3 linked regions of the Lonchura striata genome follow. The protein of the gene in region 1 interacts with the protein of each later gene in a pairwise test. Links are inferred from orthologs where the notes say so. Each region holds a gene or a part of one and is shown in the gene's direction. Other genes may lie near its edges. The genes, in order: SEC23B, homeobox protein Hox-A3 and PRRC1.

The links.
Region 2: the proteins of SEC23B (region 1) and homeobox protein Hox-A3 interact in binary tests that used the Homo sapiens proteins (3 or more experiments, as listed by UniProt). The two-hybrid records come from large-scale screens. The link is inferred for Lonchura striata from reciprocal best matches to the Homo sapiens genes SEC23B and HOXA3.
Region 3: the proteins of SEC23B (region 1) and PRRC1 interact in binary tests that used the Homo sapiens proteins (3 or more experiments, as listed by UniProt). The two-hybrid records come from large-scale screens. The link is inferred for Lonchura striata from reciprocal best matches to the Homo sapiens genes SEC23B and PRRC1.

The regions. Positions count from the first base shown.
Region 1 is NC_134605.1:22,409,155-22,419,477, reverse strand, and holds the start of SEC23B (protein transport protein Sec23B), read left to right. Parts: upstream 1-5,423; 5' UTR 5,424-5,494; intron 5,495-7,218; 5' UTR 7,219-7,234; coding exon 7,235-7,455; intron 7,456-7,468; exon of another isoform or gene 7,469-7,824; intron 7,825-8,458; coding exon 8,459-8,516; intron 8,517-9,100; coding exon 9,101-9,187; intron 9,188-9,366; coding exon 9,367-9,603; intron 9,604-10,021; coding exon 10,022-10,107; intron 10,108-10,323. UniProt on the Homo sapiens protein: Component of the coat protein complex II (COPII) which promotes the formation of transport vesicles from the endoplasmic reticulum (ER).
Region 2 is NC_134603.1:123,453,865-123,464,733, forward strand, and holds the start of homeobox protein Hox-A3, read left to right. Parts: upstream 1-6,588; 5' UTR 6,589-6,683; intron 6,684-10,411; 5' UTR 10,412-10,493; intron 10,494-10,869. Other genes in the region: HOXA4 (homeobox protein Hox-A4), read left to right, coding at 2,673-3,264, 3,795-4,123. UniProt on the Homo sapiens protein: Sequence-specific transcription factor which is part of a developmental regulatory system that provides cells with specific positional identities on the anterior-posterior axis.
Region 3 is NC_134642.1:83,732,051-83,742,418, forward strand, and holds the start of PRRC1 (protein PRRC1), read left to right. Parts: upstream 1-5,441; 5' UTR 5,442-5,561; intron 5,562-5,643; exon of another isoform or gene 5,644-5,771; intron 5,772-10,368. UniProt on the Homo sapiens protein: May act as a regulator of the protein kinase A (PKA) activity during embryonic development.

The DNA.
Region 1 (10,323 bases):
GACACTTTTCTCCCATGATAGCTTCCATCTATTTGAAGACTATGAATCTGATGTGGGAAAGATTGTGAATATGTCAGACAGACACTGAATATGTCAAACACTTATTGGTTGTTTATTATCTTTCTTACCTGCTTATTTATCATTAAATTCCTGATTTTTCTTATGTACATCTCTGTTTCATTTCCTGTGTTTCTGCCTGGTGATGCATCTGCTGTATTTATTCCTTCATCATCAAATTTCTGGTGGTGTGTTTTGCAGCTGTGTCACATACATGGATGGCTCCGCTGAAATTTTGAGTAGAGGTGTTCTGGGAAGATATGTTTTCCACAAGAGAAAGGGTTCCTCTGGCCTGATGATACAGAGAAAATTTCTATAGATTCCAGCATCCAGAGAAACAGAGGGCTGGAATGGCACACTAGGAGGCAGGGTGGGGTGCACAGGGGCTGTGCACAGACAGGCTGGCCCCTGTACCACTTGCTGCCTGTGGCTTCAGCTGGCTCTGGCCAGGGTGGATCTCTCCACAATACTCAGTATCTTTACAATGCTCTGCCAGCAATGGGGAACAATCTGGAGGTCAAGCACAACACAGGGCTTGTTGCATTTGGCTATTTTCAAGTGTGCCTGGCTGAAAACAAGCCCTTTGGACAATGTGTTGGGAGGGTGGTGGGAAAGTACCTCTGTGGCTGAGTTAGCAGCAGCCTGGGTAACCTGACAGAGGGTTAATGTAGATTTTGGAACAGTTTACCTCATAAGGGTAATACTTTACATCAGCATTTTCAATGCTATCCAGGAGTTTGCACTAAGAGCAGTCTGGATCACATACGAAAGTGTTCAAATCTTGCTTGATTTCCACTTCCCTTACAGCATGGCGGACAGAGGCTAATGAGGGTGCCTTATGAAGAATAAAAAAAGCTCCCATGGCTCCTGTCCATGCAGGGAGGGTATGGATGCAGAGGCAAAGGCTGCTTGTGTGGGAGCAGCTGAGCGTGTACTGGAGCAAACAATGAGCACCTGATAAGCTGGCAAGTCCATGGAAGGACTCTGATTGTCCCAGCGAGGTGAGCACCTTCAGCAGGCTCTCCTTTTGCTGCAGTGTTGTCTCCAGGTGAAAGGGATGCATATCTCTACAGAGGCAGAAGGGCTCTTAGGAAAGAGATGTGGGGGTGAAATGGTTGGAGCTTCATTCTCCCTCTGCCCCCTTTAACTACTCAGCACAGAGAAGCCAAGGGGAAAATGCTGCTCTCTTCCCTGGAAGGCGCCTTGGATCAGACATCCTTTATTCCAGCCAAGGTAATTTCATTGAGATGTGGGGCTGGGGTTGTCTTTGTCTTCCTGTCTTTAAAGAGGACCTGACACAATGGGGTCCTGAGCCTGCTTCTGCAGAGATAACACAATGTTTGTGCTCCACTACAGCTAGAAGATAACTTCCAGGGAAACAACAGGGCTTTATCATGCAGGTATGTCACTTTATGCTCTATAATCACATTCATTGGCAATAAGAAAAAGGAGAGAAAGCTTCTCCTCAGTGAACAGCTTTAGGAAGTAGATAGATGGTTTATTAAGCTCTTTAAATTTTGGCATTGTGTTTATCTGGCTTAGATGACCTTTGTGGTATCTCAAACTTCTTAGTGTTGAAGCTGTAACAAGACTTCTCAGATTTGGAGAAAAGTGCCTATAAGGGGAAAGTAATTTCAATTTAGTTTCTTACAGATAGCAATCTGTCTGATCTATTTCTATATGAATCAGACAAATGATCTTTCTGTCACTCTGGTTCTTCATGAACCTGGCTGATGTATTAGGCTGACATTCTTATCTGAAAAGGGAATAAATGCTACAAGGTAGCATTAATGGTGTCCTGAGTTTTGTCAATCTTCTCCTTGGTGAAGCTGTCCCTGTTCCAAACTGGTATGAAATGTAATGTTTTGAGGATACTACTATAGTAGCTCCAGTACTCAACATGAAAACATTTACATGTGGAAAGCTGAATTATCCCTTAAAACATGGATGACAAATAGGAAGCATGATCTGCTCATTTATTTTCACAGGCCTCATGCAAGAGGTTAGAGTTCAGCTGCTGCAGGACCATGAGATTCTCCTGAGCTGGAGAGAGCTCATTCTTGTTTTCATGAGCCCTGATCCTGCTGTCAACCCACGAGCCTCTTGTGAGTGGTTGCCTCACTAGTAGTAGCCAACTCTCCAAAGGCAAGTTGGAGGGTGGGCACACCCAGATGCCACATGGAGTCGAGTGCAAAATTGTGTTTTAATTCCAAGGCAAACATTCACTATGGTAGCTGGCTGGATTGTGAACTGACAGTGTAAAGCTGGCAGGTATTGTCTGGCATGTATAGCCTTTACACTCCAAAGTTTAAAACATGAGGATGAATAGCAAACTTGAAGCTTCGATAGTGAAAATTTTCCCCGTGGCTGAGTGGCAGTTTAGTTTTTCCTGGGTTTGGTCGGTTGGCTGGGGGTTTTGTATTTGTACTTCGATGGTAACCGATCCGGGTAATTGTTGTTCCGCTGGTGCTGTTAGAGCACCATATCCTGTCTCTTCCTGGGATGGCTCCCCCAGGGCTCCAACAGGAAAAAAGCTCGGTCTTAAGCCTTACTGGTTTCTTTTTTGTCTCCACATGCATTTGATTTTGGGAAAAAACTGTAGTGAGTGGAGACAACTGGGTCTCCTATTGCTGCTAAACACTTGATGCTTTGAAACAGGGTACAGACACCTCAAACAGAGCTGTCCTCTGCCACACACAGACCACCTTTCCCTCCTCTTGCTCTGCTCGGCTGGGACTTTGTGTCATTTCACCTGTGAGAAATGCAAGGCTAGGCCCTCCTCAGCCATGCTGAGCCTAGATTAGCTCCTGGAGGAGACTGGAAGGTAGCATGACAGGCTCCACAGGTGATGTCCAAGTTCTTGCTGAAAATGTTCACTTCTGCCATGAGAAAGTCAGTCATGGGACTTTGCTCACTCTTCAGGAGATCTTCTGGAGAATGGGGAGGACAGGAACCAGAGCTCAAAGTTCTCCTCTCTGACAGCTGTTTAACACAAACTAAGCTGGGGCTTGTGTAGGCAGCCTGTGGTGTTTTCCTTTCTCTCACTTTTGAAGCAAGCTTGTGTTTCTTTCAGGAAATGCTTTGGGGAAAGCTTTTACTTGGGTATTTGTTCCACAGACACAGGGCTTTAAGATTGTGCTCCTCTTCCAAACTGATTTGGTTTAACCCAGCAGACATTAAACACCACACAGGTGTTCCCTTACTTCCTCCCCAGTGGGATAGGAGAGACAATTGTAAAAAAAGTAAAGCTTGTAGATTCAGATGAGGACAGTTTAACAGGGCAGAAAATGAAGGGGAAATAATGGTAAGAGATTATATAAATTAAGTGATGAACAATACAGTTGCTCCTCCTCTGCTGACCGTTGCCCAAGGAGTGCCAGAGCAGAGGGCTGGAAACCAGCAGCCAACTCTTCCCAGTTTTATCATTCACTATATGATAAGGAACAAGGAACATCCCTTGAACCACTTGGGATCACTTGTCCTGTCTTTGTCTCCTTCCAAATTAATTGCGCACCCCCAGCTTTCCTGGCTGGCAGGAAGAACCTAAGAAGTCGTTGACTTAGCATAAGAATTGCTCAGCAAGAACTAAATTATCAGGGTGTATCAATATCTTCATAATCCTAAATCAAAAAATGCAACACTAAACCAGCTCCAAGGGAGGAAAATTAACTCTGAAAGTTGAAAGCAGGACACAAACTCACAATCATTGCTCAATATTTTAGTTAATCTAATGTTTGCAGAGGGGTGCACTATGGCCTTGAAGCCCTAGGTCCTGGTAAGGCTCTTTGCTGTTGAGATGTGGCAGTGGGAGGAAGATGTAAACAAACAGGCAACTTCAGAAGAGCAGATTTGCTTTGCCTCCTACTTGGAGAGCCAGTCCTGGGTCTGAGAATGTTAGTAATATTAGTAATTAGAATTTTACACACTTTAGCATATACATATCAGTAGCATGCTTCTACTTTTTTATTCCCTCTCTATTTGGGATGTCAGGAAGCTGGGAAGGCAAAAATGAATGTTCACCTCAGACAGCATTTCATTTTGCTTTGTTTTGGACATGGAACTGTACTCTGCATATTCCAGATTTTTGTTGCATTTAAAAGAAATAAAACAGGGAAAAAAGAACAAAACAAAAAACCAAAACAAACAACCCCCCCCAAAAAAACCCCAAAAACAACAACAACAACAACAACAACAAAAACAAACAAAAAAAACCCCAAAAAAACCCCAGAGCTGGACATGGGTGAGTAGACTTGACCACAGGGCATAATTTCCTCTAAGCAACGGTGGAGCGGTGCCCACACAGAAGCCTGGGAGATATTTGTAAGCTGACCGCTGCATGAATGTAAAGCAAACACCAAAACTCTTAGAAGCAGAGAATTGAGGTATTTCCCTGCAATACCTTTGCACCTCGAAAGTCTGCAGGATTCAGGAATGGATTTGCATCCGTGCATTCAGATAGGACAAATACCACTTGCACAGCATCACGTAAAGCTGCAGGGAAGGATTCTTGTCTTGGGCTCACTAGGACAAGCTCTTGGCTTTGGAAGAGTCTGGGAAGCAATACAAGATGGAAGCAATGAAAGAAGGACACATATTTGTCTAATTTCAAGGCAGGGACAAATTCCTGGGGCAATTCAGGTGTGCCAAACTTGTACCTCGTATCCACAGGCTCCCTGAAAATTGTGTCCATCCCTGGATCTCTCGGAGGGTCTGGGCGCTGTAGGGCTCTCCCCAGTAGGCTGAGGCACAGATTTCCTGGCAGAAGGGTGAACCACTGTGGCCTCGAGCAGATGTGGGGGTAAAGCTCTGTCAGCGAACAGAACGGGAGGAAAACCCGATGGATTGTCCCCGCCTTGCTGCTGGAATAGATGGCCTCATGCCTTTGCCCAGCGTGTGCCGCTGACCCAGCGTGTCCGGGGACAGAACCCTCGGCCCGAGAGAGGAGCTGGGAACTGAGACTCTGTGGGGCTCGCAGTTTATTTCTTTAAGAAGTGTCTCGGTGTTTTTAGTGGAGCGCTACTCATAACCCTGGGAATGCTCCCTGACGAACACACCCGAGCGCGCTCCCAAGCAGCCGAGCCCCTTGAGGGCGGGGCTGCTTCCCTCATGCCGTGCCAGGGTAGGAAGGCGGCACCGCATCCCACATTTAGCAGGGACACCCCGCCTGTCGCCATTCCAAGGCGAACCTGCCGCCCTCAGCCGAGCCGAGCTCCCTGCCGCCGCCGCCCGGCTATGTTTGGAAGGAGCCTGCCTCTCCCCTCCTCCTGAAGGGCGGCGCAGCGTGCCCTTAGCCAAGATGGCGGCGGAGCCTCAGCGGGGGTGGGGCGGGCGTGCCGCCGCCGCCGCCATCTTGGCCGCGGGCAGCGCGCACCGCTGAGCTGGCCTTGCCGGGCGCGCGGGGCGTGCTGGGAGGGAGCGGCGCGAGCGGCGCGGGCAGGTGGGAGCGGCGGGGCTCCGAGGGAAGGGAATGGGAACGGGAACGGGAATGAGGGGTCTGTGTCCCCTGAGGGGAGCGGTGGGTGACGGCCCCTGTGAGGGGGCCAGTGGTGTCCCTGCGGCAGGGTCTGGAGGGAGCGGTCAGCGGTGTCCCCTGAGGGGAGTTGGGCATGGTCCGCGGTGCTTTCATGGGGTCAGCCGTGTCCCACAGAGCAGCAGGTGCTCGCTTTGGCCGGGCTGGGGATCCGCAGTGTCCCCCTGGGCTGGGGTCAGGCGTGCCCCTGTGGAGGGCCAGCAGTGCTTTGCCCTGTGGCCGTGCCGGGGATCGGTGCTCGGAGGGGCGGAGGTGGTACCTGCGGTGTCCCCTGCAGCCGTGCTGAGCGATTACACCTGTCCTCCCGCTGTCCTGACCCCAAAGTAGGGCCACAGCCCGTGCCAGACCCAGCATGGCAATCAGGGAAGTGATGCTGGGCTACAGCTGGGGAAACATGGAATAAATCAAATGTTTATATTGCTGTTCTGATGTGCGGGATCTTTTACAGGAAGACTCAGCTCTGATTTTCACCTTGACAGATCTATTTGTAGTGGGGATGTGTTGTGAACCCTTCTTTTGTCCATCCACTCAGGGGGGTGGAAACATGGGGCAGTTCTCCTTAAGCTTGATTTACATCCTTAATAGCAAGGAAGAGGAAAACGTCAGTGAGTTTGGAGTTCTGTAGGAAAACGTTATACCAAAACTTCTCCTCCTCTGAGGGGAGGTGTTGCTTCTGATTTCTCATGTGAGTAGCCCTCCTGAATATCCCATCTGCAGTGAGGATCAGGAGTAAGGTAATCCTGGAGCATTTGCAGCTGTAGGTGAGCCTCTGAATTTCCTTGTCTGAAGTAGGTTGTGGAGCTGCTGCTTTTGGCTCAGTGAGTTGCTGCTAGTGCTGTGTGGTGTTTGTGGTCTGGATTTGACAAGTAAGTTTTTTGATAAGCTTGTTCTTGCCTTTCTCAGAAAAATCAAAAGCAGTGATGGCCTGGAAACTCTTGTTTGTGTCTTATTTTGAAGAGTTTAGTAAGACAACACAGAGAATGTGTTGGGAATATTCCTCCTTGATTTTTTTTTTTTTGAAGCCTTCTGGACTCTCAGTTCTTTCCTTATTGGCAGTGGAACAATGATGCTAGGCAGTGTGGGTGTCCAAAAGATCGTTTTTGGTATTTTGTCATGTACTCTCTTGTCTTTGTAAGCAGGTCAGGCTGGCAGCTTGGTGGCATTTGTGATTGTTTTGGTCTCAGACTTGGCCTCCTTTTCTCCCTGCAGTGTTTCAGCTGAAGGCTCCAGGATGGGTTGCAAATCTGGCCTATTTTCCTTTACTGACCCAGTCAGGCAGGATTGCCTTGAGGCCAGCATGAACCTCATTGGATTTTGACGTGTTAAATGTGTATCATAAGAAAAAAAACAACCTCTTATGCTCTGACTTTGAGTGTCAGCTTTCCTTGTTTCTTTGTTGGACTTGGTGGTGTTTTAATTGGCTGTAATGTTGATGAGAGCACTGGACAGAAGAGATTAATGGAGTCACGTGGTTTCCTTGATAATGGGATTAATTCATTGTACTGTGCTAGCTTTGTCCTGGCAGTGTCTTGTGCCCCCACCTGTAGTTGATCTGCTGAGCTCCTTTGCAGGCCTGTTGTCCACACAAGTGGCTGCTGCCCCAACCTTCTGTGCCTTCTTCTGTCCTTCAGGAGCTTCAGTGGGGCCATGGCGACGTACCTGGAGTTCATCCAGCAGAACGAGGAGCGTGACGGCGTGCGCTTCAGCTGGAACATGTGGCCCTCCAGCAGGCTGGAGGCCACAAGGATGGTTGTGCCCCTGGCCTGTCTCCTGACCCCGCTGAAGGAGCGTCTGGACCTGCCTCCTGTGCAGTATGAACCTGTGCTTTGCAGCAGGCCAACCTGCAAAGCTGTGCTCAACCCACTCTGGTAGGAATTGCTTAGCTGGGGATGTTGGAAGGGGCTGGACATTATCTAATTTTCATTTGAACTTCACTACTTTCTTATTCCCCTTTTTCTCTGCCCAGTGCCTGGCAGCCTCTTTCATTTAGATGCAGTGAGCTTGTTAAAATCCATACATCAACACGCCTGTTACTAGAGTTGGCAAGAGCAGAGGACACAGGAGGATCTTTGGAGAGGCTGTTAAGGCAGAGGGTCCTCTCAGCATCCCAGAGAATTTTCCTCATAGAAGACAAAGAGCAAACTCATGGTAGACAAAGATGCCCATTGTACTGATACTGTGCTCTGGACTTGATGCTTACTTGTTTTCCTGCTTCCTACGCACCCTGCTGCTTGTAGGTCAGTTTCCAGTATGAGCATAATGAAATAATTTTAGAGGAATATCTCGGTCCCAAATTATGAGATGATCATGCATATTGGGAGCATGGTGTTGGGCTGAGAAAAAGCAGGCAATACCAATAAGAGGAATTGAAATGAGATCAAAGCCATGGAATGAGAACGTGGCGAGGCATCCTGCACTAGCAGGATGTTGTACTGGGCTGAGGAGAGTAAACTCTGTGGGACAGGGAACAGCCTGTTTGTTCTGTGTTTGCACAAGATCTGGGTGGATGGCTCCTGCTGCTCTGAGACTGGAACACTTGTGTGCTACAGCTGCACAAACAATAAGACAATGAGATTAGCCTAAGTGTAGTGAAATAATTAGTAGACCCAAGTCTGTGTCTGCCAAGGGCTGAACTTCAGAGAGCTCAGTGGTCCCTCATGCTGACAAGCCTGCAAACGGCAGGGCTGGATTAGCTAATGAACTTCCTGGTAATAGAACCAGAGTCTGAATCCCTAAAACACTTGCTGTTCAAGCTGGAGTGTCTGTTTCTTCCTCAGTGCTGTGAACCAGCATGGATTAATGAATTAATTGTGAAGCATTCCTGTAAAATTGTTCCTGAAGTCACACCAATGCCTCATCTTTCCCTTGCAGCCAAGTTGACTATCGGGCCAAGCTTTGGGCTTGTAACTTCTGTTTTCAGAGAAACCAGGTAAGTTGGAAAAAGAACTTTGACCTTTTCAGTGAACACTTTATTGATGGCCTTCCCTGGACATTAAATGTAAATTCTGCTTCTCTAGATCCTTTCCCTTGGCCTTCTTCTCTTGCTGAACCCAGGCCAGAGTACAGTCTGGTTTACCTGACGTCTTGTCAGTGATTTTGCTGGCATGCAGAGCATAGAAAAGAGATTAAAATGCTATTTTGTTCTATGTGTCCCAGTGTGTTTTTTGCATCTGATATTTACTATTCCTGCAGAATATGGAATTCATTAGGTTTGAGTAGACTTTTGCCATCAGAAACTACGGCTAAAAGAATTTCAACTAGTACATTATTGCTGCTGTAGCCTTACCTTTTATTTACAGTGGATTGAGCAGCTGTCCATCCTGGCCCCTTGTTGGCTGTTCTTAGGAAAAGCACTGTGGGTTTTTTATAATGAATTAATCAGGTTGGTGCAGTGTCAGTAAATAAAAAGTTGAATAACTACATCATCAGCAGGGCAGGCTCTGTGCTGCATTAGAGAGCCCTATATTTTTGTTCTGCAGCTTCCTTGTCCTAATTTTTTGTTCTCTTTTTCAGTTTCCCCCAGCTTATGCTGGCATTTCTGAAGTCAATCAACCAGCAGAGCTTATGCCTCAGTTTTCAACAATTGAATACATAGTGCAGGTAAATGAGCCACAGACGAGGTTGAAGCTCCCAGAATTGTCTTGTTTGTGACAAATGATATATGTGTAAAATTTTCTTAGGATAATGCAAATAAATACCATGTCTGCAAGGTGCTTAAGAAGGGCTAATTTTATTCCTTGGCTGGAGGCTTTAGAAAATGTAATTTCTTCCCACATCAGCGAGGTCCGCAGACGCCGTTGATCTTCCTGTATGTTGTGGACACGTGCTTGGAAGAGGAGGATTTGCAGGCCCTGAAGGAGTCCCTGCAGATGTCCCTGAGCCTGCTGCCTCCTGATGCCCTGGTGGGGCTCATCACTTTTGGCCGGATGGTCCAGGTTCACGAGCTGAGCTGTGAAGGGATTTCCAAGAGCTACGTGTTCCGGGGCACCAAGGACCTGACAGCCAAGCAGATACAGGTGTGCTCTGCCATCCCTGGCTGCTCTGCCATCCCTCAGGCCAGGGGCTTGTACCTCTCAGCTCTGTTGGGCTCTCAAGCTCAGGGCTCTCTGGGAGAAAGAAGGGCTTAGTGCCCTCAACTGTGAGCCTTTTGCCCTCTCACTATCTGTCCTGTCTTTTTGCTTTTGTATAAGTACAACTCTAGCCATTTACTTTGAGTTGTAAATGTCTTGGAAGCTTGTTCAGGATTGAGTTTGTGTATCTCACATAATGGACCCATGATCCATTCCTAATGGCAGTGCAAAGATGGATAATTTTACAGATTTAAGTATATTTAATGCTACAGTATTGCATGCTTTAGAGTATATTAAGTAATAATGTAAGTAATATATTTAGTGTTTGAATAGTACATCTCTGCCTCCTCTTTACTGTTCTTAGGATATGCTTGGTCTTTCAAGGCCAGCTGTCCCCATGCAACAGGGAAGACCTCTTCAAACTCCAGAGCAGCCTGTTATTTCCAGCAGGTAAGCTTTACCAGCACAGGAGACAGCAGGGCACATGTTTTATGCCCCTTTATATCTGTAGGTCATGCCTCTAACCCTGGGTTTCCTGGGAGGGGAAAGAAGATTTAAATCGTATTGTCTTGTCACAATTACTTACCTCCATTAAAAACAGTTTTCTCTTTCTCAGCTTCTCTTTTTCAGTGATAGCTCTCATGCCTTTCAGCAAACTCACCTTTG
Region 2 (10,869 bases), on another chromosome or scaffold:
TGGTCTTGGCTGGGTTCTTGTTTATGATAACAAAACCAGAAAGACACGGAACAGGCCTTTTGGAGGTCCTGCCTCAGCACATCTTCACAGACTAAGAGAACCACACGAAAAAAACAGATTTGAGCTGGGCAGCTCAGGTCACCTTGCAGATTTACACTCTATACAAAATTGACTCCTTCTCTCTGTAACCAAGCGCCAGAGCCCTACTGTAGAAAAGGACACGGTGAAACTTTGAGATCTAATCACAGTAAATTATATGAAGCAGAGGCCGGTCAACTCTCCCAATATAGCGCTGATCTTACCAACCGAGACAACACTTCTCGTTGCGTTTTACTGTGGCGTGGGAACACGGCAGCCCGCTGTAGTGCTCCGGCCATAGAGCCTCAGGACTTATGCCGAGGATAATATTTACGATACCCCAGTGTAATTCGTCTGGTGCTAGCCGGCAGGTATTTGTATGTATGCGTCTCATATGTGTGCATGTATCTCTTTATACCGGGAAAATGCTGTCGTGGTGGACTTCGGCGATCTTTTCTTTTTAATAGTCATGCAGATAGGAGGTTTTTGTTTTTTGTGGTTTTTTTTTTTTTGTTTTTTTTTTTCTTTTAGGAAATGGGTTGCTGTTGTTTTGTTGTTTGGAATATAAATAAAACAATGTCCCCTTTTCTATCAAATGTGTGCTGTTGAGCAGTTGCGGCTGTCTCTGTGTGCAACCGCGTGTGTGTAACCGCATTTCCTTTCCACGCAGAGTAAATAGAGAAACTTATCTATTACGCCAGTTAGAGTTCCATAGATGTGCTGTTAGAAATGAGTAAGTAAATGTGTTTTAACTCTCTTTACAAATTAGACATTCGATAGTAGGAGGAAATGAGTGATTGTTTAGATAAGTACCCCAGTATACCCAAGTGCTGGAAATGTTCTAACATATTACAAACCGCATGCAATGTGCGTGCCTATGTGTCTGTGGATAAAATATAAATCGATACGTTGTGTGTCTTGTTAGATAGAATATATATTCAAATAGAATTTTATTGCACGTATCCATTATCTATTAAACTGCAAAAGACAATAATCTGAATTTAAACCAGGGTAACTGTTAGTGTAATATCTTTAGGAAGGCAAGATCTAAACTGTATCATATTTACGCTTGATATATTAGAAGTATTTTCCCATACAGCAGATGATATTTAGCCACTCAGCAATTATATTCTCTAAGGGTGTGGTAAATATTTCTATCTGTTTATATTCCTTCCTGTACAGATGAAAAAAATAATCTGAAAAAGTTCGCTCCTACTCCAAATGTGGCAGACTAGCTGACATTCAATAAGTATTTTTTTCCCCTTAGAATAAGAGCGTAATTAGTTTAACCATCAAATTTCAATTACCTAAGGTCAGGGCGGTTGTCTTGTTTCCCCCTGAGCTGCAAATACCGTTAACAGTCTCAGTTTTAGCAACGCAGAACTGCCCGAGTGCCCTCTCCCTCCTACACCAGGGTTTGCGAGCTACTGCTGCGAAGGCACTAGCGATTTCTTATGAAAGTGAAAATTAAAAAATAAACCCCAGACGAGGCACACCAAACCGACGGACTTAAATTCGTACTTTAGAAAGCTCTGCTCCGCGGGGAGGGATGCTCACAGTGAGCCCGGTAGGAAGCGTTTGGTACCGTCGTGTCCGTCTTCCCCTCTCCCTTTCCCCTCTGTTCCCCGTTATTTTCAGGCTCGCTCTATGCCTCACACCCCACAAGCCCCTCGAGGACTCTCCTCGGCCTGCCCGCGACCTTCGTTCTAACTTTTGCGTCTATTCCTCCAATTAGCCCAGCTTCAAAGGGGCAAAGGGCTGTCCCTGCAGCTCGCGGCCGCCCGCGGTCCGCAGCGGCGGGGCGCTGGGGACAGACCCTGGAGGGCGGCCGGTGGCCTGTGCCCGACAGCCGCTGCCGCCCTCTGCCTGCGCGCAGCCCCGGCATTCGGAGATGGGTTTGTTTAAAGGATTGTGCAACGCCTTGTGCAATGCCTGCCTCCTTCTGGATCACGCAGCTGGGCTGCGCTCCGCTTCCTCGCCCTGCTTCCTACACTCTCCCACGGGAGAACGAAGACACAAAAAGTGCTGGGGCGGGCGGGGTGGGTGGGAGACTGTCAAAGCCGGATTAGTTTTATCTCGCTTGACACCGCGACTGCTGGACGCTGCCCGGGTCGGCGGGCAGGAGGAGCCGGGGATGCTGGTGAGGAGCGGACGCGGGGCGCTCCCTCGCCAGCCAGCCGCCGCCCGTGGGGGAGGCGCCGTCCCCGCGAAGGGTCCGCGGGCGCGGAGCTGCCCTGCGGCCGCTCGTCCCTCTTCCATTTCCTGATCCGGGGTCCGCGGCCCCGCGCGGTAATTGGCGCTGGCGGTCAGGTGGTGGCGGGGCGGCGGGGGGTGCGGGTGTGTGTGTGCGCGGGTGTGTGTTTGTGTGTGTTGTAGGCGCTCCAGGGGTGGGAAGAGAGGAAGGGAGGGGAGTGCAGCGGGGAGAGGGGGGGGGGAAGGGCTGGAGGCCCAAACTTTGGCAGCGGCAGCACTTGACAGCAGCGGGAGGGGGAGAGGGAGGGAAGGGAGGGAAGGGGGGGGAAGGGGAGTGGCCTCGCCGAGCCCAGAAAAACGACAACGCGAGAAAAATTAGTATTTTTGCACTTCACAAATTAATGACCATGAGTTCGTTTTTGATAAACTCCAACTACATCGAGCCCAAATTCCCTCCCTGCGAGGAATACACGCAGCACAGCGGCAGCGCCGGCAGCTCCGCCAGCTACCACCCGCACCACTCGCACCCGCACGCCCCGCCGCCGCCGCCGCCGCCGCCGCCGCCGCACCTGCACGCCGCGCACCCGGGCCCGGCGCTGCCCGAGTACTTCCCGCGGCCGCGCCGGGAACCGGGCTACCAGGCTCCCGCGGCGCCGCCGGGGCCGCCGGGGCCGCCTCCCGAGGCGCTCTACCCCGCGCAGGCACCCTCCTACCCCCAGGCGCCCTACAGCTACAGCAGCGCCGGCAGCGCCGCCCCGGGCCCTGAGCAGCCGCCCCCGGGCGCCTCGCCGCCGCCGCCCGCCAAGGGCCACCCCGGCCCGCCCCAGCCCCTGCTCCCAGGCCATGCCCTGCAGCGCCGCTGCGAAGCAGCCCCCGCCGCCGGGGCCGGCACCGGGCCCGCCTGTCCGCTGCTGCCCGACAAGAGCCTGCCCGGGTTGAAGGGGAAGGAGCCGGTGGTCTACCCCTGGATGAAGAAGATCCATGTGAGCACGGGTGAGTTGCCCTTGCCAGGGGGAGGTGGGGATGTGCCTGCAGAGGAGAGAAGGGGGGAGGGTGCTCCCGGGACCGGGATGGGTCGGTGCGTGTGTGGCTTTTTTTTTTCCCCTCCTTCTCCGTCTGCGTTTCCTAATAGTAAAGGAAAAAAAAAAAAAAAAAAAAAAGGGAAAAAAAAAAAAGAAAAAAGAAAAAAGTGAGAAACCTTTTGTATCCGGGGTCCTTTATCAAAAGATTTACGAGACGCCAAACTGTTAGGGCAGTAATTATAGCCCCCATAAATTTAATTGCCCTGCAGTGGCTCTGGGCCATGTGTCTTTGAAGCTTTTCTTCTAACCCAAATGCCCATCACCATTTTTTATTGCTCCTCGATTGTCCCCACTGTCGATAGGCTGGGAAACAATTTTTCTTGCCGTTTATGTATCTTATGTGAACCCGGTGTCAAGTTATTATATAATGATTATGTTCCATCCCTTCCCCTCTCCTTCTTTCCGCGTGTGTATGTGTGTGCCTGTGCGTGCATGTTTCAGTCAATCCCAATTACAACGGAGGGGAGCCCAAGAGGTCTCGCACTGCCTACACCAGACAGCAGGTCCTGGAGCTGGAGAAGGAGTTTCACTTCAACCGCTACCTGACCAGAAGGAGACGCATCGAGATCGCGCACACCCTCTGCCTCTCCGAGCGCCAGGTCAAAATTTGGTTCCAGAACAGGCGCATGAAGTGGAAGAAAGACCATAAACTGCCTAACACAAAGATGCGTTCCTCAAACCAGTCCACACTGAGCCAGCAGTCCAAAGCACAGACACAGGGCCACCCCCATCCACTCGATGGGGCTACACCCAACGCAGCTGCTCTATAAATACGGTTTTTGGTTTGAGTCTTTTTGGTCTTTTTTTTTTTTTTTTTTTTTTTTTGGTTGGTTGGCTTTTTTTTTGGTCGTTGTTGTTGTTGTGGTTTTTAAAATATATATATATTTACCTATCTATTGGGGTTTTCAAGCTGCCTCGAGGTGGAGGCTGGCCTTTTGGACCAAACTGTGTAAAACAAAACAGGAGCAGAAAAGGAAGACGAGACGTGTCCAAGCACGGGCACATGTTTAAACCAAAACCCGGACGATTGTCTACATTGTATATAGATAATGGTTCCATGCCCATCATTTTTTTCTATTTATGGAAACGCTCTCTTGCCCTCGGTATAAGAGAGGGATGGATGCTGTCATGGACGAATTCTCTGTACCTAAGATGGACTCTTTTTTTTTTTTTTTTTTTTTTTTAGGGAACACGTTAAAAATAAAAAACATTAAAAACAAAGTAAAGAGCTCGTGAGACACTTGTGTAAGGCACTGACTTGAATAGCGCTGTTTTGTGGTGTGTTCATGGATTTCTCTGTGTGTGCTTGTGTGTGTGGTGGTGCACAGGCACGTATACACACACAGACCAACATGGGAGAATGAACACGTCTACAAGAGGTTAAAGACTTATGAAAAAGTCCCCTTACGCTGTCTAATGGAAAATGTTTTATGTATCAAAGGTAACTTAACTGGTTTTAAGTGTAGCCCCCTCAGTAGCTGTGATCTATTAGTTTTTCTCCACATTCCCTATTGCATTTATTTAAAGAAATATTGCTATAAAGGCTGTTGCTGTCTTCATATTTGGCACCGTCTAAGTAGTTTGAGTCCATGTACAATTTGTGGATTTTTGGTGTAATGTATAACAGTGCCAAATGCTAGTAATAAAGATTATTCTGTACAAAAGAATTAAACGCTTGAAACACAAGTCCACTACGTGCTGTTTCATCCACCTTGTGCTTGGCTGGTGTTGGCATCAGAAATGGAAACGAACAGTTTAATGCATTGGTTTGACTTGGATTAATCTTGTCAATAAGGTAATGGTTATTTTAAACGTGGTGAAAAAGCCCTTGACTCCTACTTGCCTGGCAGGGAAAAATTGCATTGCAGGGCGAAGAAAGGTCTTGCTTCATTGTATAGGTGAGTGGTGCTCTCTTTAGCTGACTTAGACAGAATGAGTCTGACTCCACCGCTGTCCGTGTGACTGTTTTCAGCTGCCTGACAAGAGAAACTGTGCTTCTTCTGGGAGCCAATAAGCTCCCATGCCGTGATAACACTTTAAATCTTTAGCCAGTCCTGGTTTATTCATTCATTTTCGCCTGATTATGATTTCTTAGCTGGCTAGCACTGTTTAAGGGGAATACTTGAACGGTAACCTAAAATTTCTTTTCAAGCTGCCTTTTCTGTGTATACTTCCTTTTGTTTTGTTTTGTTTTAAGATTATTTCAAAATGTGCTGAGAAAGCCTTGGTAGACGCATGAATTTGGATACAACTCATGAGGCTTTTTTGACCGAGATTGTCACAACTACTGTGGCAAAATGGGATTCAGCTGGTTCCAGCTCCGGCTGTGCATCTTCCTGCTTCCAGGCAGCTAAGGAGTTCAGGCAAAACAGAACTGCTAATGGAGAGCCCTGCTTGGGGCTTTCACAACACGGTGTAGCACTGAGCTGGGTAGGAAAAATCTTGGAAAGGAACTCAAGTGCTACTAAATCTTCCAGGGAAGATGTGAAGGCCAATAGTTATTTATTTACTCACCCGAATGCATACAAGATGGATTATTGGAATCAGTGCTTGTCTTCACCTAAGTGAGGCTGCCAGGACCAGGGGGCATCATCATCCCTGGCTGAGGTAGCACCAGGCTCCAAAGGTTGTGCCAGCATCCCTGCCTAGCCATGGAATATGTACCATTCCAAAGAAAAATGTAACGTGCCACTGGCAGAACACATTCAGCATCAGGGCGGTGGCAGCTGCAAACACCCACAGCAAACACGGCTGTCCCCATACCTGACTAAAGAGTAGGCCTGAAAAGCACACTTCTGCTCGCATATTACTGTTTACTAAATCCTGAGTCACCAGTTATCTCCTTATAAAGGGAAAAAAATATATAGCTGTATGTCAGGTAACTACTATCCGCAAATGTGTAACTCTTCATTTGGTTTATTGCCTGAGAATCCCTCAATGTATTTAGAGCCAAAATTAGCACAACTGAGCAAAATTCCAGCTGAAATGCATTAACTGGCAGTGCAGGATTTCTTTAGTGTGCAGCCTATGCGTATAAACCTGGTTTACTCCCATTGTAAAAAGAAATGAAATCACGCTGCAAATAGCAATTTTAGCGAGAATCATTAATCACCTCCTACAATAAATACTTCTTTGTAATTCAACAGCGGTTCTGAAAGGCATTCTCTTGGAAAAGTCTGTGAAGACGCAAAGGATTTTCCTGGGGGAAAAAAAAGTGGTCATGTGTAAAGACACAGCATCTTGGCTGTCTCCTAAAAAAATGTACATTCTCTTGCTGGAGATTGAACTGCGGACTGCAAAATACCCCATGGCCGATTATCATCGTTTAAGGTAAATTCTCCTTCCTTCTCTTTCCCTTCTGCTTCTGTTGGGAGTAGAATGCTGCTCCCGGGCTCTGAGCCCTCTGCTGCCTGTCCAATACCTCCCATCTTTAGAATAACCTCCAAAATTACATCGTCCTGTTTAAATTCTCGCATTGTGCTCCCTTTGCTAGGGCAACCAGGAGTTCACCGAGAGGACAAATTTTCTATCCCATTAATTGTTTTTTTTAGAGGGGCAGACTGACCCTTCAAACCCTTGACCTTTAAAGACAGTATTCTTTTTAATCCGGCACTTGGACCTAAATGTCTCCCCCCCCCCCCCCCCCTCCCCCCCACGCTCTCCCGGTGTCTCTCACACACGGATTTATCTGCTTTGGTCACAAAGGCGAGCACAGCTCAAAACGCTGGAAGTGGAAGTGTGTCAATATTTCAAAGAAAGACCAAATCACCTCGGAGTCAATTTGCTGTCAGCAGGGAACGCCACTCTGTTAACCCCGGCACCCATCTCCCCTCCACCCACCAAGAAAAATACTCCTCTGCCGAGATCCCCATCCTCGTTTCTCCTGCAACCTCTTGCTATACCTGGTGTTTCATTACAGGAGGAGCTGAACTGTGACAAGCGCCTTGTGGTATTTAATGACCAGGGCCATCCTGCATCGGGGCATTACGCAATGCTAGGATTTTTTTTATTTTATTTTTTCCTTTTTTTTTTTTTTTTATTTTTTTTTTCCCAGGGTGCTTACAGTCCCAAGTCTTCTTGTCCCGTGTTTGTAAACGAGGAAAGGGTGGGGGGAACCCTCACACAGGCGGAGATCCTGACAGGCCCGCAGTGAAACTCCGGCTCTCCCGGCCCCCCCGCCTCGCGTCGGGGCCGCACTCGGGCAGCCCGGGCTCGCCCGCCGTTCCCGCGCCTCCGCCCGAGCCGGGCGAGCGGCGCGGCCGCGGGACCCGCACGTCACGTCCCCGAGGAGGCGGAGGCTCTGGCCGTGTCCGCAGCCTCGAGGCTTGGCCGGGCCGCGGCGGGGTGGGACCCCGGGGTGTCGCTCCAGGGCTGTCCCCGGCTGCGCGGCGCTGCGCGGGCGCCCAAGCCCGGCCCACGCGGGTCCCGGTGGGGTCGGAGCTCCCCGCGTGGGCAGCGGGAGCTCCGCGGCCGCCTCCCTCCGGCCCCGGGCAGCCCCACTGGCTCCGCCCGGGCCCGCGGACAGGCAGCACTCACCCGTGGCGGACAGCCCGTGCACTGCCGCCCTGATGCTCTCCCGTCCCCCTGCCAGCAGCGCAGAGCCCCCTCCCCGCCGCAGACAATGACGATTTGGGTTCAACTGATTCATTTGGAGTTGGGGGGCCGGAGGGTGTAAAGCTGCCCCGGTTCGCTGTGCAGAACGGGACAAACCCTTGTTAATAATGCCCCAGAGCTCTCCCTGGAAACTGAGGAGGTGTCAAAGGCAGTAGAGATTAGGGGACCCAACTACGAGCATCCCTGCTCTCGCAGATAAAGGTGTTGCGTCTGTTCTGGGCGAGATATTGAAATTTTAATCTTTATGGTCACGTGACTCATTAAATAATTAATGCAGATAGTCAGGAATGGATCTGTGGCCGTCAGTCCTCACTAGGAGTGATTCTCTCAGAAGTGAAACTCAACTCCTTGTTACTGGAGTTTGTTTTTCTTTCCTTCTTTCCTTTTTTTTTTTTTTTTTTTTTTTCCCTTTTAAAAAAGCCCACCTGATTTATCTTGAAAGATTCTAAACTTCTTAAGCAAGCAATAGGGTCTGTGTTGGTAAGTAGGTAGTGTGTATTTCTAGCTTGATGACTTTAATTGTTTGTGCTTGCTTTGTCTGCTGAGCATTTGCTTAACAAGTTTAATATTTAGAAATGTTAAATCTTTGTTTTAGCTGCCTTGTGGTCACATTATGGCTTTTGGTGATTAAGTGTTACGGAGGCAAACACACTTGATAATGTTCTAATTCACACTGTGGAAAGCTGGGTGCCACAGTGCAGGAGGACCTGCTTTGTTCAATTTTCTTGGCGTTAATAAATCACCGTCTCTTAATACATGGCCAAAAAAGCAATGGAAAGGCAGTGAGCATTGCAAAGGAAAAGTCATGGGCGAATTTCTCTATGACTCATTAGTCTGAACGATTTATGTACGAACTTAGAGTGCCGCAATGAATATTAGAGCTTGGGATAACAACAAATTAAAAAAAAAATTCATAGTTTTTGTAAAGTGCTTTATTGCTACTTAGCAACTCTTTCAAGAAACAACGTACTCTTAAAGGACCGTGGCAGTGTAAAATATGGTAGCGTGACCTAATAGCTGCAAAATAAATAACATAAAGTCGCTGGCACCATTTTCAGATACACGCTCCATATTTAACACGAGTGGGACAACCCAGTCACGCTTGATCGATGATTATTGCTGTTTGTAACATGATTATTGATTAGGGATCAAAACGGCTAAGGTACGACTTTGAGCCTAAAATGCCGGGGGGTTCCCCCTGTGCTGAAGCCGAGTGTAAGGAAAGGTAGAGCTAAGGATAACCCCAGGAAGCAGCGCCCGGGCTCTCTGATTGCAGTTCGAACTTTCTATTTTCTTTTGTGTTTGCCAGTAGATTTTAACAGTCAGCGCTTGCAAATTTATGAGACAGCAATAAACAGTTTAGTAGGCTATTATTGCATGCTTTTATGTAGACTGGAGTTCAACACCAAATTTAAAATTATTAGCGTAATTATGGAACTACTAAATTAGCAAAGCAAAGTATCTGCTCCAAAAGTTGTCCCAAGACAGACTTAATATTTCCAGGGCTCGGATAACACCCTTCAGCTAGAATGGTGTTATTTAATTATTAGCATTTACATTTACTGACGATTGTAAGATGCATTAGATGGGTTTTATTAACAAGACTGAATACAGGGGTATATTATTATATCTGACAAATTCATATGTAAAAGTGATTCAATAAGTGGCATGCAAATAACCTGACTGTTGTATTTTTGGACCAGAAATACTGTTTATTTTAGGGGAAAATAAGTAGCCCAGTACTTTCTCCTCCGTCAATGGCTTTCATGGATGTCGGTTTTTTTTTTGTTGCCTTTTTTTTTTTTTTTTTTTTTTTTTTTTTGGGAGGGGGGGTGTGTATGTCTGTGTGTGTGTATGTGTTGTGCTGGTAGATTAAAAAAAAAAAAAATTACGCATTTGGGCCCGATCCCGCTTCGCTGAGGTCAATTGTTAGTCTCTTAGTGAGCTTGTGGTGGCAGGATTGGGCCCCGGCTAACCGTTTGAATAAAAGCCCAACCACAATACGCCCCGCATTTAAACTGGAATCCTTTCCGAGTTTTATTCAGCAGAGATGAACACCACGACTTGTGTTTAATGTCTGTTCTTGATTAAATGATCCTAAACAAAGGTTTCCCAGAGGAAAATAAAGCAGACATTCATGTAACAAGAGTTAGGAATGACAATATTTCCAAACACTTGGAGACAGAAGGCATAGCTGTCTACAGGGAAAAAAAATAAGGAAAAAAACCCAACCAAAACAACCGCACGCTTTTATTTCTCAGCTCCCCGTGCTCTTCACCCGGGTGGGAATCCACGCTCCTCGCGGGAGCCCGAGCCCGCTCCATCCCCGCCCGCCCCTCTCCGGGCTCTCCCAGCGCACCCGGCAAACCATGTATTGCCAATGAAGGAGCAAAATACCTCCCCCTGCACTCCCCGGTAAGGCACTGTTTGTTGCTTGTTTACAGGGAGCCCCGAAACGAAGCCGCTCGGCCGGGGCGGTGGAAGAAGCTGGGAGCGCCTCAGCCCAACCCTGCGCAGCTGGAGGAGGTAAGAGCCGGGCAGCGGTCGCTGCTTTTGCGCCGGTGGCAGCTGTAAGAATGCGATTTGCCTGGTACCTGCATGAAGAACAAGACTGCTGGAATGAAATTTTGTTGTTGTTGCGATAAATATTTAACCTAGCTGGAATTTTTTTTTTCTGGATTGGCCCTATTCATCTTCCGTGGGTGGTGAATGCGCGTGTCTGGGCAGACAAAGAAGTGTACGGGACCTGAGTGATCGCCATCCTTATAAAGGCATTGGGGACAGGAAGGATGCAAAGTCATCTGAAGAGCGAAAGAGTTAGAGAATTTCTTTGTCCGTTCTTAGTTCCTTCCGAAATCAAAGGCACCAGGCGAGGGAGAGAGGGTTGGAGCCAATTCGGTAT
Region 3 (10,368 bases), on another chromosome or scaffold:
CTCCTTCTTGGGCATGCCCGCGAGGACAGAAGCCCCGGTTCTGCTGCGTAGTGGAGCCGATCTCCTCCTCCTCAGCATCACCACGTGGGAGCAGCGGCGGTGTGCGCGACCCCTTGGGCCCCCAACCCAGAGCTGGTCACTCAATCAAGGCCTTAAAAAGGAGCAGGTCTCCTGGCCCATTTATTTCACCTATACCCCTCCTCCTGAGTTTTTGTATAAAACCTTCTGTTTACCCTCCCAAGCTGGTCTTGGGGCTCCATTTTATCCACCTCATAAACCCACTGTGGAACACCCCAAGCCCTGTGTTGCCTCCATCTGTACGCGCACCAAGCCATCAGGTGACTGGGATCGCAGAGCTTGCAGGGGGATGGTCGTGCCCCTGACAGCCTCCCAGCACACCCCGCACGCTGCAACAACTGGTAGCAGGTGATGGTTCCCTTCTTCGTCTTTTAAAATAAATAGGCCAATTTGTGAGAGCGCCCACCTCACTGAAGACAAAGAAGGGAAGAGAACATAGGCAACGAGGAACATACACAAGCTCTGCCACACTCTTAGTAGGAGCAGAGTGGTGATATTAAGGCTCCAGGACTCGCTCTCATCTTCGCTGGTGTGCTCTCCACTCAAGGCTGCTGGGTGCCTCAAGGGGGTGGACTTACCCCAGGATGAGGAAGAGGCAGCTTGGTAGATGGCTCACACTGGGGTGAGTCGAGGCCTTGAGCAGAAGGAGAAACGTCAGAATCCCTGCAGGGCAAACTGAGACTGACAGTGGCCGCACCCAAGGCGCCGGGGACGGGTCTTGAAGCACCAGGAACACCCAGGTCTCTGGAGAAGCCAAGCCAAAGGAAGAAGTCCCCAGTCCATCAGCCTTCCATCAAGTCGGTGCACTCTAGTAAGAACCAGAGCCCAGAGGGTAAGCGGGCCATAGCAGGGTAAATCTCTGGCGGGTGGGACTGGTTTCCAGGAGTGTGTGCCAAAGTCATGGAGACCAGCGGGTGCCCTCCCTGAAGGATCGGGGCATCCCTGGAGAGCACATTTCTCTTACTACAGGTGTGGTTTTTTTGTCCTCCCTTCCCAATTCTGGGCCCCTGCCAAGGTGTTGGGACATCCCATGGGGGCAGAGGGGACAGGAAAAACAAAACTGAGACAAATATTTACCATCAAATGATGACATATTTATAAGCACAGGGAAGATTCTGACATCATAAAGGAGGCCCCTAACATGCATACAAACCATTGAAATTTAGCTGTGTTGGGTCCCTCCCCTGTAAGTTTCCCCATGGCTTCTGTGAAGCCCCCCGCATCCTCTGTCATTCAGACCTCCCAAAACCCTGCCCTATCCTCCCTTGGGAATGGGATTGGCTGAGCCACCCCAAGTGTCCTGCCGGACACCGTTCACGCTTGTAACTGCAGTGTACCCAGCACCCATTGGTTATTGTTCAAACACCCTTCCTCCTGAGTTTTTGTTTAAGACTGTTTGCCCTCCCAAGCTGGTCATGGGGCTCCATTTTCTCCCCATAATAAACCCACTCTGGAACACTCCCAAGCCCTGTGTCATCGTTATCTGTCCCTGTACCTGACGAGCCAATAGCTGGGAATTGCAGAGCTCACAGGGTGACAGTCACTCCCCTGCTGCAGCCGCCAAGCAAGCCCCGCATGGCATGCACTGCAACGAAGTGCCACGTCCAGTCTTTTTTTAAACACATCCAGAGATGGTGATTCTATCACATCTCTTGGAAGACAATTCCATACTTTAGTATTTTTTCAGTGTAATTTTTTTTTCTAATATCCAACTTGTACCTTCCCTGATGTAGCTTGAGACTGTGTCCGCTTGTTCTGTCAGTTGCTGCCCGGTGGAAAAGACCGACTTCCACCTGTTGGGGTGGCAAAGCCTTTTGATGAATCATTCCCCTGACCCCACCCTGGGGCTTGTCCGTCACTCTGAGGCCTCACCCTTCCATCTAGAATTTCCAGCTAAGGCCTTGGGTGATAGGCTGGTCCCTGGGGACCTCTCCCTTCCTCCTCCCTCATTGGATATATCCCGTTTGTCACTCCTGTTACCACTCCCATGTTGTCCCCTTCCCATGTTACCTCCACCTGTTAAAAGCACACAGTGCTCAGGTGCCTTTTGGGGCTTATATCCTTTGGGTTACAGCTGTCTGTATGACTTCCAATAAACTCGGAATTCAGGTACCCCCAGAAGGACGGCTGCTTTGCTTCTGTTGGCATCGCTCCGTGGCTCTCCCCGCGTGGAGTTGTGTTATTATAAGTTTTATTATGTAATGGTTCTTTCTTATTTACCCCCATGTTCTACTTGGTTTATTCCTAGTTTTCCCGCCCTACCCCATATGTCAATCCTCCCCTAAAGCGCCTAGCCACTCCCTTGTCTCCTCCCAGGCGCCCTGTCAGTCACTCGGCATCCCCTCCCGGACACCTAGAAGCTTCTATCCTGGGTGCCGGGTGATTAGACAGGGGTCTGGGGGCCCCTCCTACGTCTGCCCCTCATTGGACCCCATGCACATCACCCCACACAAGAGCCACTCCTTATCTCATCCCCATTGGTCAACCGGTTCCCCTCCCTCTCCAGTTAAAAATGGCTGCAAGCACCCTGTCAGCGCTCTTGGCAGCAGGATCATTCGGATGTTGTTAGCCCCGGTTGGGCTACAATAAATCTCGGATATAACCCTACCAGGAGCCTCTCTTTCTCTCACCGCCGCGGGGTCTAGCAGCGCTTGGACAACCCACGGAGCACTCTCCAAAGCCCCGCAGGGTCCAGCGGAGGGTGCTCCATTTGCCCCTCTCGCCCCATCGGACAGCTAGCCAGGGCAGATCTGGGGAGGGAGCGCGGCATCCCCGTCTGGTGGGTTCATATCCACAGGCCATAGCTCGTGCCTGGAGTGGCCAACGAGAGCGGCCTCAGCTGCCCAGAGCTGGCCAAGGACACTGGGCTAGCAGACGATCAGGAAGGCAGCGCGACAACCACCTGTCTACAACCTCCCGTCAGGAAGTTGTGGAGAGCCATACGGTCACCTCGAAGCCTCCTCCTTCTCCAGGCTAAACAACCCCAGCTCCTTCAAACATCGCTCATGGGGCTTGTTTTCCAAGCCTCTCACCAGCCTTGTTGCCCTCCTCTGGGTGCGCTCAAACATCTCAACATCCTTCCTAAACTGAGGGGCACAGAACTGGACACAAGTACTCAAGGTGCGGACCCACCCGCACCAAGAAAAGCTGCTCCTCAACAAGCATTCCGTTGGAGCGGAGACAAGCTGCGTTAAACCTCACCAGGAGTGTGACTGCAACCCTGCTGGCTAGCCCTGCAGAAAAGCGCTCGAGTTGAAATGAAGGGACTATGAAGAATCGCAGCAACGCAAGACTGCAAAGGATCTGAGTATTCTGTCTGAACAGAGAAAAGCTGCTCCTCACCAAATATTCTGTTGGAGCGGAGACAAGCTGTGTTGAACCTCACCAAGAGTGTGACTGCAACCCTGCCCGTTTGCCCTGCCTGTGTGAGGGGCACAGAGCATAGTTCCCAGGGTTGGGGGAGCAGTGGGTCAGGTGCCTAGAGTGGCTCAGGCGACATTTCCAGGTACCTCAGGTCCCTGCTCCCTCCCAGCCAGATGTACTGAGCCCCATTTTTATAGATTCTCACATACTCTGCTGTTTTCTAAACAAGTTAGAAAGCGCTTGATTATCAAGGCTGAGGACATTTTTTGTCACTGGAGCAACAACGTTTTGGGACAGTCTGAGGTCACAGAAAAGCTTCAGCTTTTGTTCCTCACTTATATTCCCTCTTAATTCTCGTTTCTCTAACCTTAAATTTCACTCTGAAATGCAGACACCACAAAGGGAGAAAATGACCTTCTGAAAAAAAAGAAATCCTGAAATTTGTCCAATTTAAAGGTACTTGGCTTTGCTGAGTTTTGCTTAATATCATACATAGATTCAGTGCGAGTGTTATCTATCAGGTCATATTTTTCAGGCCTTAACGGAGATACACCCCGAATTCCTGAATTACAAATGGAATGGGTGGCTAAGGGAGTGTCAAGCCTGCACGGCCATGTAATTTTTTCCTCTCTTGTAGGCAGGGAAGGACATCAGAGGGGCTACTGATGTCCATGGTGCTGCTGGTGCCCAGGCACCCGAGAAGGGCGATGGCCCCTGGGCTGTGCAAGCCGTGGGGCGGCAGCAGGAGCAGGGCAGTGCCCGTCCCTGTGGTCAGGGAGGCTGGATCACCGTGATTCCCTGGATCAGAGCAGTGCTCGTCCCTGTGATCAGGGAGGCTGGATCACCGGGATTCCCTGGATCAGAGCAGTGCTCGTCCCTGTGATCAGGGAGGCTGGATCACCATGATTCCCTGGATCAGAGCAGTGCCCGTCCCTGTGGTCAGGGAGGCTGGATCACCGTGACTCCCTGGATCAGTGATTCCCTGGATCAGGGCAGTGCCCGTCCCTGTGGTCAGGGAGGCTGGATCACTGGGATTACCTGGATCAGGGCAGTGCCCGTCCCTGTGGTCAGGGAGGCTGGATCACTGGGATTCCCTGGATCCGTGATTCCCTGGATCAAGGGCAGTGCCCGTCCCTGTGGTCAGGGACGCTGGATCACCGTGACTCCCTGGATCAGTGATTCCCTGGATCAGGGCAGTGCCCGTCCCTGTGATCAGGGAGGCTGGATCACCGGGATTCCCTGGATCAGTGATTCCCTGGATCACAGCAGTGCCCGTCCCTGTGGTCAGGGACACTGGATCACTGTGATTCCCTGGATCAGTGATTCCCTGGATCAGGGCAGTGCCCGTCCCTGTGATCAGGGAGGCTGGATCACCGGGATTCCCTGGATCAGGGCAGTGCCCGTCCCTGTGATCAGGGAGGCTGGATCACCGTGATTCCCTGGATCAGTGATTCCCTGGATCAGGGCAGTGCCCGTCCCTGTGATCAGGGAGGCTGGATCACCGTGACTCCCTGGATCAGTGACTCCCTGGATCAGGGTATCTGGCCCTGCTGAGGCCGTTCTGTCACCTCTGGGCCCCCCACACAGGGAGTGGAGGGGCTGGAGCGTGGCCAGAGGAGGGAACGGGGCTGGGGAAGGGAATGGAGCCCCAGGAGAGGCTGAGGGAGCTGGTCACTCCGTAACGTCAGAGTCCTTTCCCAAACTAATTCACTCCGTGAACAGAAATCACTTCAGCCGAGACGTACTTCAAATCTCTACGAATACAGATCTACACAGGCTCTGTCTCAAGTGCGAGCATTAAAGGCCCTACGTAATTCAGACCCGCACACGCCACACCCGCACCCTCACGCCGCCAACGTGGCGCTGCCGAGGCCCCGCCCGCCCCGCCGCTTTTATAGTCGTGCGGAGCGAACCAAGCTGAGGCCGCAGCACGGGGGTGCGACCCCCCCGTAAGGGGCCGTTGGACGCGGCCGTGAGAGACGTGGCAAGGAACGGCGGCGGCGCCGCGGTGGATGCTGGGAGTTGAAGTCCGAGGAGGCGCTTGCCGCGGCCTCCTTTCGCGTATCCCCGGGACGGGAAAGGTCGGGAAGAGACAGCACGGGACGGGCGGGCCGGTCTCGGTGAGGGCGCTTTTGGCGGCGGGAGGACTCGCCGCGTTGTGACCCGTGGTTCCGGGCGGCGGGGAGGAGCGGCCGGAGGGCTGGGCCGGGCCGGGCGGTGCCGGGGCCCGGAGCGGAGGAGCGGGGCTCTGCCGGGGCTGTGACCCGGCGCGTCCTTGCGGGGCTGCAGCGGCTCCTGCAGCCAGCGCCGGCTCCGAGGCTCGCTGTGAGGTGAGGGTCGGGCGGCAGCGCAGTTCCCGGTGCGGTTTGTCCCGGTGGTTCTCTGGGTCAGCGCTGCCGGCCGGGTTTCTCCTGCCTGGGGAGTCCGGGTGCCGGCTTGTTCGGAGCCTCGGGGCACCAATTCCAGCCCTGCAGTGAGGGGTGGCAGTGCTGGTCCTGGTAAAATGCCTGCGGTTTCATCCCCACCTTCGTTAATGCCGGATGGAATGGTGCTTCAGGAGCCTTACTGCTTTATTGTGGTGTCTCTGGAGGCGTAATTTGCAATTTGTGTTATTTACTGGCTTTTATGATCACATTTTTAAAAACTCACATTCTTTTGGGGGAATTACCTGTGAAAGTGCTGGAGCTGTTGCATCCTGTGATATCCATATCCTGGAAGAAGGATGGGTGCGGGCTGTTGGAATGGGCTGGGTCTGGCTGTTCCTTTGGTGCTCTAATTTCATGGCATTGCTGGATGGTGTTAGCACTTCCACATTTCCAGATCAGGAGTTCTCCCACTGCAACCATCACTGGTGTGGGCTGTTTCAAGAGGGTTTTGTGACACTGAAGTATTTGCTAGCAAAGGGAAAGCGGGGGGTGTGCGTCTGAAAATGTTCGAAATTAAATAATTGCCATTCTGATGATTCTGATGAGGTCAGGCAACCTCTGGAAAAAGGAGTTTGGTGGGTTTATGGTGTCTGTCAGCACTAGTGACATGGGAAGGCCAACAGACTTGCTGTCATGCCTGGTGTTTCCACCTCTCCCGGTGTGTGTTAGTTCTCATGCACACTGGTGAAAAGGCTCCTTTGGTGTTGCTTTTTGGGTTTCTTGTAAGGTGAAAAGGTTGTGCAAGTGTTGTGGTTAACATAATTTATGTGATGAATATAGAATCACGGAATTATTTGGGTTGGAAGGGGCCTTAAAGATCATTTTGTTCCACCCCCTGCCATGGGCAGGGACATTTTCCACTATCACAGGTTACTCTAAGCCCTGTCCTACCTTGGACACTTCCAGAGATCCAGGGGCAGCCCCAGCTGCTCTACGCACCTTGTGCCAGGGCCTCACCACCCTCACAGTCAAGGATTTCTTCCTAATATCTGACCTAAATCGATTTTCTTTTAGTTTGAGTGTTTTTCACTATCTGCTGATAGTTCAATTCATCAGATTCTGCATTAAGCTGTACTACAAAACATGTAAGCCAGCACATTGCACAGTTACTTCATTTGTGGATTTTCTAGCTCACGTCACATCTTTGAAGTGCTCATGTTAACTTGGAGGAAGCACGAGTTAAACGCAGCCCCAAAATAAGTGCACAGTACTGTTTACCTGCTGCAATCAGCTTCGTTATGAATTGGGAGGAAAGTTGACTTAGCTTCAGTTTCCTCCTCTAAGGCCTTAATAATGAAAAGTTATCTGCCACCTCAGTTTCAAGACAAGGGATCACCTCACACACACAGATGCATTGTTCGAGGCATGACATCAGTAAAGAGTCTGAAGTCTTGGAAATCGGGTATAGGAGAGTTCTGGGGGGCTGGTTTGTTGGGGTTTTTTTGTGTTGTTTATCCCCTCTCCCGATTACCTCTCTCTTTAAGACTTTGGACTTTGGAGCAAGTCTTTCACCCGAGGTGATTAAACTGATGACCTCTCTGTGCGCTTTCTTTGCACAGAGAAAGGAGCTCTCCTTAATGCTCTCACTTTCTAAAATTGAAAATAAAACCCATGAGGCACTTTTCAGATGAAAGTTTTAAACGTACTCAGGGTCCAGTTATGGTTTGGTTTCATTCTTTTGAAGAGTGTTGTCATTTGCATCTTATTCTGGACAGTTGTTAGCGTGTGCTTACCCATGAGCAGTGTCTGCAGCATGTGAAAGCTTAATTAAAAGTTATGTCCACTGTGATTAAAGTCAAAACGTTTAGTGGCATTTCAATTCAGTGTTGCAGCTTAGTGTGGTTGTGTTTCATTTTAGGCTCCATTTAGAGAGCAGTTTTCTCTCTGAGAGTACTTAAATATATTGTGGTTTCTTTTTGTGGATTTCTGGGGGGCAGTTTTTTCTTTTTTGTTAAGTTTTTTGTTTATTTGCATTTTTTGCCTTTTTTTATTAGCAGGAGCACTGAAAGAGAAGGGATCAGTTCAAGATGACTGAAAATACACCTCATTATAAACTCTGAAGTATCGGTGATTCTAGATAATGTGTTTTTATCCACAAGAAATTTTCTAATCTCCATTTGTAGGTAATCTTATCATTAGCTGTGAATGTCTGTATTTTATAGTAATAACCTGAAGAATGCTTTTGAAGTGTGGTTAAGTTGTTAAGATTATTGCAAAATATTAGTACAAATGTAATTACTTTCTATTGAACTAAAGTGAAAAGACAAATAATTTGCCATTATAGTCTCTAAATCAAATTATTTACTTCCTGCTTTTAGCACAAGCCCTGTTTTAGCCTGGCTTTCCATACAGTATACACAGCCTAATTCCCTAGTTTAAGAATTAGGTTAATGGCTGAGATTTGGTTTTAGGTTAATGGATGAAGTTCAGCTGGTGAGAATCAGTAGAAATAGTTCTAGAGACACATTTTGTGGGTTTTCTGTAATGTGAGGGTTTAGCATCATCCCCATAGTGTCTTCATTGTACCGAAAAGGTTTTTTTTGAAACCAAATGATTGATCAAACAAAATTCATGCTTCTGCTTCCTAAAGGGTTTGTTTTAAGGATGACTGATCACTGGGAATACATTTGTCCTGTATTTCTCGTCACCATATTCCTACTTTTTAATTTCCACATAAAAACAAACCAGGATTTCCTTCTAGGAAGACGTGGCATTATCGAATTTGCAGTTTCGGGTCACAAATCACTAGATGGCAGTGCTAATGCTGTTTTCACCTAAATTCCATGTGCTTCCCTTTCCCTGTCGCTGGGTTTCTCCTTTGCCCCTTCAGTTTAGTAAACCAAAATGTTCTAGTTTGCAAGAAGGCACAAAAGTCACTTCCTTAAGAAATTAGGCTGAGTTTCCAGGTGCTCCCTGTTGCAAATTGTGTGTCTGTGGCTTGGATTATGAAGAGTTATTATGGCTTTTGGGTTTTTTCTCAAGTCACTGAAAAGACATCCGAGTTCTGCACCCAACAGTCATTAAAGAATTGTAGGCTGATCCAACTGGGAAACTTTTTCCCTGCATCTCCCCTGAGGGAAGTTGGGAACCCCTTCTGGAATTTTTGTTGAGGCTGAACACTAATGGGTTTCTTGGGTCCTTTATTCCATAGTTTTCTTCTTCCTCACACACAGCTGGTTTTGGGTATGCCAGTTATGTTCATAAATATCCTGTAGGGTCATTTTAGTAATCTGTGGTGCTGGGTTATTTCAACACTATGAACTATTAAGTTACCCATTGCACTTTCTGCTTTCCTTTTGCCTATTCCTGTGCCTGGTCTTTACCCTTAATTTTCTTCTTTAAATTATTTACTTTTTTTATAATTCAGTACTTGCAAACCACAACTGGACCATGTTGACAAATCAGTGTACAGAAAGTGGTTGGTTGTGCAGGCTCCATATTAGTCAAGACATCATTTAAATCTGTTTCATATGAGATTTTTTATCTTATTTCAGCAACTGACATGATTCTTTTCACATTTGGGATTACTGTTTCTGTTCTGAGTCTTTTTTATTGCAAAGTTAACAGCAAAGAACAGCTACGGTGATACTTATATTTCTACTAATTCCTGACTCCAGATGTCAGGTGGCTTTTTGGGGTGTTGCCCCTTCTCCCTCCCCTCCAGCACCACCACTGTAATAGGTTTTTGAAAATCTGAAAAATCCCTGCACAGAGTTTTTGGAAGGCTGCTCTATGGAATTTTACCACTCATTCTGCATGGCCACAGAATTTATTTTAAGTAGTGAGCACTTCTCAGCAGCTTTTCATCATGGTATTGGGTGAAATCAAGCAGCAGATTGGAAGAGCCTCGAAAAAAATGTTTATAGGTTTTGATCAGAGATTACATTAGTTGCACAATGGAAAATTCTTTCATGTTTTTCAGTGCATAATTGGAAGAATAACTTAAGAAGTACTTCCGTGCAGAGGAATGTAAACTCCTGTAGATGGATTAAAAGATGAAAATCTTAAATTGCAAATTCCTGCCCTTAGTAAAGTTTGATTGAAGAGTTTGCATTTCTTTGTTACAGGGTGATGAGATGTACTTTGCAAGGACAGTGTGTTCCCCACCCGGCAGTTACTGACCCTTTCATCCCATCTGAAGAGAAGCCTTTAAGTGAATTAGAGATGCTCAGAACCCAAAATCCATCTGTCATAAGAATTTCTTGAAGAGTGCTGCACATAAGCCACATTGACTTGCTTTCCATGGCTGGGCTGAAGCATTTAATCCTGAATCACTTAAAGCAAATCATACTAATTTGTCAGAGGGTCTGTGACTTCTACTATGTGGTTTTGATGCTTTAATTTGTTTGGAAACTCTTAGTGCACGTGTCAAGACTGACATTGATGTCCTGCTGTCTGGATTTTTCGGTTTGGCAATAATAGTAATTTTTCCTTCACATTAAACTAAGAGTTGTGTATACCTTTGAAACAATGATGAGAGAATGAGGAATTTTTACTTTGT